Linked DNA regions of Caenorhabditis elegans. The protein of the gene in region 3 purifies or fractionates together with the protein of the main gene of each other region. This does not show direct contact. Each region holds a gene or a part of one and is shown on either strand. Other genes may lie near its edges. The genes, in order: sams-4, acp-6 and rmd-1.

The links.
Region 1: the proteins of rmd-1 (region 3) and sams-4 fractionate together in Caenorhabditis elegans (co-fractionation; one large-scale study listed by BioGRID). This does not show direct contact.
Region 2: the proteins of rmd-1 (region 3) and acp-6 fractionate together in Caenorhabditis elegans (co-fractionation; one large-scale study listed by BioGRID). This does not show direct contact.

The regions. Positions count from the first base shown.
Region 1 is NC_003282.8:5,844,273-5,848,027, forward strand, and holds the start of sams-4 (putative S-adenosylmethionine synthase 4), read right to left. Parts: upstream 2,098-3,755; 5' UTR 2,064-2,097; coding exon 1,992-2,063; intron 1,767-1,991; coding exon 1,706-1,766; exon of another isoform or gene 1,333-1,705; coding exon 1,210-1,332; intron 1,109-1,209; coding exon 726-1,108; intron 675-725; coding exon 265-674; intron 222-264; coding exon 56-221; 3' UTR 1-55. UniProt on the Caenorhabditis elegans protein: Catalyzes the formation of S-adenosylmethionine from methionine and ATP. The reaction comprises two steps that are both catalyzed by the same enzyme: formation of S-adenosylmethionine (AdoMet) and triphosphate, and subsequent hydrolysis of the triphosphate.
Region 2 is NC_003282.8:6,424,538-6,428,292, reverse strand, and holds acp-6 (Histidine phosphatase family protein), read left to right. Parts: upstream 1-2,153; 5' UTR 2,154-2,155; coding exon 2,156-2,350; intron 2,351-2,399; coding exon 2,400-2,534; exon of another isoform or gene 2,535-2,604; intron 2,605-2,618; coding exon 2,619-2,763; intron 2,764-2,811; coding exon 2,812-3,194; intron 3,195-3,273; coding exon 3,274-3,522; intron 3,523-3,571; coding exon 3,572-3,610; 3' UTR 3,611-3,693; downstream 3,694-3,755.
Region 3 is NC_003281.10:9,757,514-9,761,044, reverse strand, and holds rmd-1 (Regulator of microtubule dynamics protein 1), read right to left. Parts: upstream 1,952-3,531; 5' UTR 1,895-1,951; coding exon 1,892-1,894; intron 1,502-1,891; coding exon 1,073-1,501; intron 1,016-1,072; coding exon 767-1,015; 3' UTR 661-766; downstream 1-660. Other genes in the region: gcc-2 (GRIP and coiled-coil domain-containing protein 2), read left to right, coding at 1-660, 2,181-2,232, 2,300-2,436, 2,480-2,696, 3,181-3,251; vps-53 (Vacuolar protein sorting-associated protein 53 homolog), read left to right, coding at 3,531-3,531. UniProt on the Caenorhabditis elegans protein: Acts in chromosome segregation and organization during mitosis.

The DNA.
Region 1 (3,755 bases), on a different chromosome or scaffold from region 3:
CTAGAAGGCTTACAAGCACTTTTATCAAGTTGATTATTACAATAATCTCAGAATTTTAATGGGCAATTCCAATTACGTCAGGTTGAGCTGGTCCTTGTGATTTGGCGAGCATATCTGCACTGATTTTGAGGTTTCGAGGCTGCTCCCATGGGAAATTATTGTGTCCAAAGTGTCCGTTTTCAGCAGTTGGCTCGTAAATTGGTCTCTTCAAGTCAAGATTCCTGAAAACAGTAAAAATAGTGAAACATAAAAAAAAACGCTTACTTGATAATCTTTCCCGGTCTCAGATCGAAGTTATCATTCACAATGGTCAATAAATCCTCCTCGCTGAGAGCAGAAGTTCCAAATGAAAAGACCATCACAGAAAGAGGCTTAGCAACTCCGATGGCGTATGAAACTTGAACAAGGCAACGACGGCAAAGTCCAGCTTTGACAAGTGACTTGGCAACCCAACGAGCAGCATATGCGGCAGAACGATCGACTTTGGTTGGGTCCTTTCCAGAGAAAGCACCTCCTCCGTGAGCTCCCCATCCTCCGTAGGTATCAACGATGATCTTACGTCCAGTAAGTCCAGCATCTCCCATTGGTCCTCCAATAATGAATGATCCACATGGATTGAGATGATAGATGGTCTTGTCGTCGATGAGATTGGCAGGAATTACAGCTTTGATAACCTAAAACCGAACAATAAATATAGCTGTATTTTTATTAATATTTTTAATTACCTTTTCGATGAGTTCCTTTCTCAAATCATCGAGACTGATATCTGGAGAATGTTGGGTGGAGATAACAACAGTGTGGACGCGTAGTGGGACACATGCTCCTCCTTCCGAAGCATATTCGATTGTGACTTGGGTCTTCGAGTCCGGACGAACCCATTCGAGCTCTCCAGATCTACGGAGCTCGTGAAGCTTCCGGTTCAGCTTGTGAGACAAGAGAAGAGTCAATGGCATCGCTTCTTCGGTTTCATCAGTAGCATATCCAAACATAATTCCTTGATCTCCGGCTCCGACATCGTCACTATCCTTGTCCACGTGGACTCCAGCAGCGATTTCAGGTGATTGTTGTTCGAGTGCAACAAGAACATTGCATGTCTTGTAATCGAATCCTGAAAATGAATACTGTATTTAATCAATAAACCAAGAAAATGAGATTCCTGACACAATGTGATGAGCCAATAGTGTAGAAACGAAATTATATTCTTCATACCTTTCGAGGAATCATCGTATCCAATTTTCTTAATGACGTTTCGGACGAGAACCTGGTAGTCGACGACAGCTTTCGAGGTGATCTCACCGCACAACATGATCATACCCGTTTTAGTCACCGTTTCTGTAATCAAAGTAACCGTTGTAACAGGTAAAGAAACATATTGTTGCGATAAGCTTCAGCCCCGTTTCCCGCATCATCCAACACCCGTAGAGCCTGAAATCAGAGACATGAATAGGCGAAATGCAAAAGAACCACAGTGATAGGTACGAGTTCACTGTTGATCCTTCTGCAAATCAAATTCACAACACAAATATCAATATCATGTTAATTCTGAGGTTAACACGACGCGAGTGTATTGAATCTGACCGCCTGTCTTCCATATCGCCGAATCTCTGAATGTTGTACGGATAATAATTGGGACTTTTGCTCATCGCAGCTCCATGTTGTTGTTGACATTTCGTTGGAGGATATCCAAAAGTCCTGAATCACTCACCACAAGCAACCTTAGCGTGAGGGTCTTGAGCCAGATGAGCGTCAAGAACAGCGTCCGAGATCTGAAAAACAAACATGAGAATGATAGACAGCTGCTTTCGAGCACGTGGGCCAATTTTCTACGCTTCGGAGATAACGTTTTGTTTGAAACTATACACATTTTGTCCCATAACTAACTTTTTACGAACTTGACAGATTTTTTTTTTCAACAGTAGCGTATTTCCAATCAAAAAATTTGATGGATTTGTTTATCTGGAAAAGACGATTTCTTATCAAATATAACTTACTTGGTCACACATCTTGTCGGGATGCCCCTCGGAGACAGATTCGGAGGTGAAAAGGAACTTGTGTTGCGGCATTTTATTTCGTTGATGGATGTTTGAAAGCGTCCGTCTGAAAGAGCGATGATATTTAGCTCAAATAAATAAAGGAAAGCGAGGAAGCGGAGGTGGGTTGAATAGAGGGCGGAGCGCCACGCAACAAAGAGAGACACAATACTCTGCGTCTTGTTGGAAACACGTTGCTCTAAAGTATAGTTTTGAGGGCGTTTTTTAGATTGCAATAAAACACAATTTTTTTGCGAGACAAGTGTGAATATTAGCCCGGAAAGCTCTACTTTTATACCATGAAGGTTGAACCTAGATCATCAGAAAACTACAGAGATTTAGAGAAAAAGGGAGCGAGAATTTTCGAAAAAAGAAGGATCAAAACAATTCTAAGGGCAAACCGTTATCTAAGGATGAGGAATTATGAAACACGTGTTATTTGAAACACCACAATAATATTTATATAAATATACGATGTTTAGAAATAAGAACACTGAGGAAGTTTTACTGTCATATTTTTGAAGAACATAAATCGAGATAAGGAAAAATATATAAAAGTCTTAGAGAACAAGACAGGCGACGTTTACAATCTAGAAAAATAAATGTCTAAAACTTTCGAAATATGCGTTCGAAGATTGTACAGATGAACCGGGAACACGGACAAAAAATCTTCGGAATTGAAGTCTCGCTGAACCTTATTGAAAGCTTCAGCAGATAAAGACAACTCACTTACACTCTTCGACGATGAAACGGTCAATGTTTTTTTTAATGTTATGCACTCCGAGAAATTTTGATAAAATTTCACGTTTTCACGTGTGGATATAGCCGAGTTCACTATGTTATCACGTTTTTACTCAATTCTTTTTAAAAGTATTATTATTGCAACAAGATCATTCCCAGCCTATACTATTGTGCAGAACATCGTTTGCAAGAAAAAAAGCTGTCGAGAGGGCAAAATCGGCCTGAACAAAGTTATTGCAAAACTTTGACATACTTTTTTATGTTTGATCATACGATTTTCATCGCTCTCCTCAAATTCATATTTGTTTTTATTTCCTCTAACAGTGTAATTGTGCTAATGGATATATGATCATGAAACTATTCAATTTGCAGAAAATCAATAGACTTTGCCCTTTTGTAAAAGCGCAGAAGCTCAGTTTCCACAACATGAAAAAAGCAAATACTCTAGACTTTAGGAACGGATTATAGTAGCCATTATCAGTAATGTAAACTTTAAAAAGCAAAGGAATCAAGAAAACAGGTTCTAATTTAGAACAAATAGCAACTTGGTAAATAAGAATTGGCCTTGTACTTTTAAGTTTGTAGTCTCACTTGCTTTTTGTCATGGTGTTTTGCTCAATTATCGAGAAACTGTAAGAATGATGAAACTACTTCCAAAATGTTTAATCGTATTTAACAAACACGTGGGTTAAATAGAAAAATAAATTATATCTCAAATAGAACAGTGATTTTTCACTGAAAAAAACGGATTTTAAAGCCTTTTTAAACCTAATCAAGCAGAAAAAACAATTAATACGATATTCGATATTTTTCCGTAACTTTTCTTGTTAATTCCGATATCTAGGAATCTCATATCTCGATTATTTCGATCTATTCATGATAGGGGAAAGCTTTCAGATATTTCCAGTTTCTAATTAGCGAAACAGATCTAATCTAGAACATTTATCGCCATCCGTGAGACAGCTGTTAAATTCTAGTTTAAGG
Region 2 (3,755 bases), on a different chromosome or scaffold from region 3:
TTAATGAAATATATGTATATAGTTTTTAATCAACTAAAAGAAGACATGATTAAAAGAACAGATTCCTTTTAATGTTTTCATGGAACACAGGCACGTTTTCCTGCCTACATACATATGTGCCTACTACAATCTTCATCCCGTTTAGAGTGAACATTTCTGTTTGGACAAGGTAGATTTATTCAGATTTGAAGTACTATTCTTATTTTTAAAATTAAATCTTTAAAATTATTTCGTTAGAGATTAAACTGTGAGATGAAACTAATGGTTTACATGTTCTTGTGTATAGGCATGAGGCAGATGTAGGCTGCCTAGAAGAAATAATTTGTTTACTTGATTTTCAATATTTGTCAGTCGTTTCTAAACAACAGCCCTTCCCAATTTTAATACAATTATCCAATAATAAGTGTTTTTCATTAGCCCCTTTGTAATTTTAACCAAATTTTCTACAGTTTTCTACAGTAGTAATTCTTCCAATTAGCTTTTGGTGTAGCCCTTCCAGAAGGCACCAAAGATCCGAAAATTATGTTAGAGCCCTACGAACTCGCGAATGCCTCAATTAGCACAATGGAGCCATCGCGATAGGAACCCGGGAGGCATATATACTAGACAAATCCTACCGTATTCTCTGCAAACTTTACTTCAGCCTTCTGCTCATGAAGTCTCAAAAATTCTGTCTAATTGAAATTCAAATTGCCACGGCGCAATTCACGGTCATTTGAACTCACCTTGAACTCTCGCAGATTCTCGGAGAAAAACCGGAACTAAAGTTTTCTCGCGATCTTTGTGGTTTTGTGAAACAGAGAAAAAAAGAGTAATTGGTGTATTCAATTGGAAGAAATTGAATTGAAGATGAGATGGTGAAACATGGAGTTTTTGAGTTCAAATAAACAATTGATCTTCTTCATGTTTGTCTGTTTTCTATGTGTTTTGTGTATTTCATCTTTTTCTTTCATTCATTTAAAATTGTCTCATTTTCAATTCATTTCTCCCTTCCATGACAATTTCGAGGCCAAATTGAATTGAAGTTTGGTCGTACCTAACAGAGTATAAAAGAATGGCACAAAATGTTGAGAACGTACATCCAAACATCCTTTCTGTTTGTGATCTATATTTTTATCATGATATTTTGGTATTGTCACGTCTGGTCTCTTGTCACGGCCTTGAGAAATCCTTTAATGACAAGATCGTACTAGGTAGCATGTGATTTAGATTTACAGTACTCAAGTATTGCTATCCTAGGTACATAGATAGAAAAGTTAAAAGAATTATTTTTTGTAACTTGAAAAAAGGTAATTTTAAGATAAAGTTAGCATCTAGTGCTCGATCGGTTTCAGGATAGAAGTAAAATTTTGAAATTTTCTGTTAGTAACAGTTTCCAAAATGTGCCATGGATGCATGTTAAAGTAATTATTTTACAGCTTGAATTTAAAAATAGTGACTGATTTGTAGGCCCACTTCTATCGCGCCTGCCTTGTGCCTTTCAGTTGAACCTGACGAATACCAAAGTTGTACGGCAAGGGTTCGCAGATCATTGAGCACGCGGGAAGGTACGAGGCCGGCGCAGGCTTCTGAACTAACGTGATATTTCATTTGAGATTTTTTTAATAAAATTATTAGTTCCGTGTTTAATGGTTTCTCTATTAGACCAACAACTAACGGTTTTTTGTTCATTCTGTTTCAATGAAACGGTAACAAAACACCTGAAGATACTTTTTATTTCAAATCGGGTCATATCTTCTTTTAATTCAATTTTATTGAATTGTGTTCTGTCGTGTTATCTTATCAGTTTGTTATCGTTTCAAACAAAACAAAAACAGTATATAAACGCCGGGTAAGATGGAAGTTCACTGGCAATTCAGTGTTCTTGTGTAATTAACTGATTACCAGAATTTTAAATTTGTCTAGAAAAGCTCTCAGAATATGTATTTTTCAACCTGAATCTATCATTCTACAATCTCCTACCTTTTAGTCTAAACAGTAAATGCCTTCTTGCGGACCTGCAACGTTTGTGGAATAGGCATGTAGGTAGTCTAGTCATGAGAAGCTTTATCAGTTTTCATACTTCTTGGTTTGCTCTCATTAAAAAGTGATATGTTTCTTCAACTTTACCGTTGTATTTTACGCCACCTCAGACAAAGAAATTATATTTTCAGGTATGAACCTTCTACTATTTTCTGCCTTGATCTTGGCTACTTCAGCCGCCCATCTTCTCCCAAAGAAGTCTGTTGCAATTGATAAGAACTCGGTTCTTGTGCTGTTCGGAACTCGTCACGGAAACCGTCATCCAGAAGTTTTTCTCCAAGAGAATCCAAGAAGCTGGGGACATGAGGGAAATACTGAATTGACTTCAGTAAGTATTAATTATTGGAGTTTCTAAATGAAATCTAGTAATATTTCAGTTCGGAAAGCGTCAAGGACTTGGATTGGGAAAGGAATTGAGAAGCTTTATTGGAAATTTGATCTCTCGTAACTACAACTCATCTCAAGTTAAATATTACTCCAGTTCTGCCAACAGATGCCAAATGACTCTTCAGGTATGTGGCGAATTCCGAATTCAAAGTAAAATAATCAAAATTTATCTAACTATAAGTTGCCACATTGAAACAGTAAATTTTTAGACTGTCACTGCTGCTCTCCACGATCCAGAACAATGGGGGGATTGGGATAAGAAATGGTACGATCATTGGTCTCCAGTCCCATATGCCATTGATGATCCACTTCTTAGAATGTACGCTGTTAAGGAATGCAAAGGAAATGATAAGGGTACGGTTGTACTTGTATAATGTGAACATATAAATCCTGATTTTACAGTCTGGGGCCCAATCGACAAGGATTCCCTTCCATTCCTCAAGAAGCTCAAGACAAGCAACGCAGCTGAGCTCAAATACTTCTCTGACAACACCAAATGGAACATGGAGAATCTGGGAAAAGCTGCTGATTTGGCCGATAATCTCATTGAAATTGATCTCTACAAGGCTGAATATCCATCATGGATTAAGGCTCCAAAGTTGAAAGGATACACTTTCGAGAAGCTGAAGGCTAAGATTCTGGAATTTGCTGAAGTTCATCAGAACGCTTGTGCAGAGTACGGACCATGCGGAAACTTGATGGCTGGATATTGGCTTCAGAATTTGATTGATAAGGTTGCTGATGCTAACGCTGGAAAGGGACCACAAGTTATTGGATACGCTTCTGTAAGTTATTTACAACCTGTCAATATTAATGTGAAACCTCTATTTCCTGTGAAAAAATTATACAAATTTCAAATTCCAGCACACCGAAATCACTCTTTCCGTCATGAAATTGATGGGATACGTGAAGGATGAACTGACCACCTCCGCTGGATTCGTAGTTGAATTTAAACGTCTTCCAAAACCAGCTGTCCGTCTTCTCAACCATGATCCTAACCCAATCGATGATCATGTCATCTATCCAGCTGAACTTACTCCAAAACTTAAGAAATTGGCTGACAAGGATGGATTCATTCCATTGGAACAATTCTTCGCCTATGCAAAACAATTCGTAAGTTGGAAAAATAGGTTAGATTATTGTAACAAATTAACATTTTCAGTCCTTCTCCGATTGGAAGTCTCAATGCGACAAGGCTTAGATTCTTTGCATGAATTTATAATAATCGTTTGATTCGCTTCGTATGTACTAATGTAGTTACTTTTTAATAAATAATTCGAAAGTAATCAATGAAAATTGCAAAATAACGGAGAATGGGTTACTGTGCTCATTAAAGGGGTATACCT
Region 3 (3,531 bases):
TTTGTGCTCGAGAAAAAAGGAAAGCAGGAAGACGAAACACGAAAAGCTATTGAAAAACTCGAAAAATCAAAAGTCACTATCACAGAACTTGAACAACAAGCTGATCAGACAAGGCAGGAGCATTTTAAAACTGTCGAAGATTTGGCTTCTTCACGTGACAAAGCAGAAAGACTTGAGAAAACTCTAAAAGTTCTCAAATCAGAACTCACCGAATCAGAAAAGGCTCACACTACGGCAATTGACGAACTTCAGTCGAGCTCTTCGAAGTTGATTCAAAGATTGGACGAAGAATTGAGATTAATGAGATCATCTCGTGATACTGCTGAACAAAAGATTAAAGATATAGAGATCGCAAAGGAAAAAGTAGATCATCTTCTGCAGAATGAGAGGCAAAGAAGTGAAAATGAGAATGGAAGTCTGAAAAGCAAGCTGTCAAGTGCAACAAAGCAGATTCACAGTCTAGAAAAGGAATTACAAGAGTTGAGAAATGACTTTGAAACTCGTCGAATTCAAAGCAATCAACACCAGCAGCAGAAAGCTATTGCAGCTGTCGTACCTCAGCCGATTCAGCTTCCAGAACATCCTATTCCACCTCTTCATTATCAAAGACCAGCAGTTGCTCCTTCTGATTCTGTTTCTTGTTATGATGAGCCAACACAGGTAAAAATTCTTTATTTACAGAAAAATTCATTGATGCAAAATATGAAGTTAATTGGGGAGAGAGGGGGGCAGGAATCAATAAGAAACCGTAGTCAAATAGATCGAATTAGCATTTTTGGAGAAGAGACTTGCACTCCGTGACGAATTGAGCATCATTCGATGAAGCGGCAGGTAAGACGATCGCCTTGTTCAGCATCTCACGTGCTTGCTGCTTCTCCTTCTTGGCAAGATGACATTTCGACAGGAACAGCAAATTCTCGATCCAATCAGCGTTTTGGTTGTAGGCGGCTTTGAAGTCGACGAGAGCGTCGTCGATCGTTGCTTTTGGAACTTCGCTGTAGAGCATTGAAGCTGCCTGGAAATTAGAGTGTTATTCGGAAGAATTCAAGACAAAAGATTATAAGAAACTCACTTTTCTTTCAAGCCATGAAAGGTTCGCGATGGTGTAAGAGAAGCGAGCACGAAGATGGAGAAGAGCAAAGTCGGTTGGATCCAATTCGAGAGCCTTGTCGAGCATGTCCTTGAGCCGTCCACCGTCATTGATCTTCTCCTTAGTTGGCAGTTGATCGACAACAAGTCCGAACATGATGGCAGTCCATTTAGCGGCAAGGAAGCTTGATGGATCAAGATCCATGGCTTCCAATCCGTAGTCGCGTCCTTCGATCAGCATCTTTCGTCGCTGCTCTCCGCTCATCGTCGTCGAAAGTTCGTGGCAGAAGCGGCACATTCTCCAGAGAAGATCACAAGTCATCTCGCCATCTTCACGTCGCTTTTTCAGCTCCTCGAGTCCTTTGACGAACTCGCGGCTTTCAAAGAGTTTGTCCGAGGTGGCAAAGGATTCCTGAAAATAAAAGAAATTGAAATTAATCGATTAAAAGAAGGTTTTGAATTAAAAACGTGCTAAATTTCGTAATGAGATTACTCAAAAAAATTATTCTATTCGACAAGTGACAAATTTCACCTAAAACTTTAATTTTAGCAACTTTTCCGTGTCGCTGCGGTTGGAGATTGAATCTAATCTCATATTATTTCGTTGATTTAGATTATTTAGGCCACATTACTGGCCTAAAACATCGAAATAAACGTCATCACAAGAGATAAACCACCAAAATAAAACAATAATCAAGGAAAAGTCACAGCGGCGCGGAAAAGTTGAAAAAATTGGGAGATTTCAGTGAAAATTAGCCGGTTTTTAAAGAAATGTTGAAGTGAAAAGCAAAAAAAAACTCACCATTTTTGGGGATGTTAGTAGAAGTAGTCGAATAAAAGATATCAGACGAGAAGATAATGACTGAAAAACGCTTCTTTTATATTCGACAAATTTGGAAAAACACGCGGGTCAATTTCTCGCGCGCGCGCGCGCAACAAAACAAAAATGAACATTCAGAGATCAAAACCGAATTTTCTGGAGAAACATTGAGAAAAAGTGATAAATAATATAAAAAATATTGTGCCACGCGCCTCAGAAAGTTCGTCATTCCTACGAAAACTACTTTTTAAAAACCTGTTTTTTTTTTCAGCCTGATCGGTCACTGGAGGATGTTTTGTATGGAGATCTCGGTGATGAATACAGTTAGTTTTATATTTTATATAAATAAGATTGTTTTCTAAAAAGTTACTTATTTCGAAATACTTGCAGGAGTCGAATCAGATGAACTATCGGAGGAGAAATTCAAGGTCATTCTAGACCAGTTAGAGAATTTGAAGAAAACAAATCATCACGTCGCAGAGCTTCTCAGTGATGCCGAGACTGCAAATGGAAGGTTAACAACTCAGGTAGAATTGGGAAAAGTTTTAGAATCAATATTTAAATTTCTAGAATTCACTGCTAAAAGATGAAATTCGCCGACTGGAACGAGAAGAAAAGCGAGAAGCCGAGTTGTCAAACGAGAAAAATATGGAATATTTGAAGAACGTATTTGTACAGTTTCTCAAGCCAGAAAGTGTTCCCGCAGAACGAGACCAGCTGGTTATCGTACTGCAGAGAGTTCTACATTTGTCACCGAAAGAAGTCGAAATTCTGAAAGCTGCATCAGGTGAGAGCACCCAGAGCAGGCTATAAAACAGATAAAAGAGGAATAGAGAAAGCGCTGAAAGAGATTGTGGTGGACAACTATTTCTCTGCAATAGCCAACGGCTGGCGGAAGAGAGGCAATAATATTGAACAATATCAACAAAAGTATTGTCCCGCCTTCTCAAAGTATTTCAACATCGCGAAGGTTTAGTGTTTTTACTAGTTGGGCGTTATTTAGGTGGAGAAGACGAAAACAACTTTAAAAACAAGTAAAACAATTCTCAATTTTCGGAAATAAGTCTCAAAAAATCAAAAATTGGGCTGCTACCATAAACTTTTTTATCGCGGTGTTACCCATCGGCATTAATAAATCGGTGCGCCTTTAAATCGGCGTTTCAGAAAAATTTATTTATTTTCGAAAATTTTCCAAAATAGAATTTACTACCTCCACTACTAAATACTTACGGATTAATCGTTCAACTTTTTTTCGAATTTATTTTTTTCAGCACATATGGCAACCGCTCAGGCAGGCTCGTGGTCTTCATACTTCTCGGGATGGTCTGGTGCTGCCACTTGAAATTATCAGATTTTCATAACATATTCGATTGTACAATTTTATTTTTATTATGTATTGCATGCTCAACCGGGTGCCCATTTCTTGTTTCTTTTGTGTGTGATAATTATTCTTTCAATGTATAGGTGATTTATTGTGTGACTTCACTACTTTTAATGAACAGAGTATGGTTTGTTTTTCGGATTATGTATTTATTTTTAATATCAGATGCGTTGTTGGCGCTCTTAAATACTATTTTATCTTTGAAATTATAAATTTAATCTCAAGAAAAGTCCTATTCAGA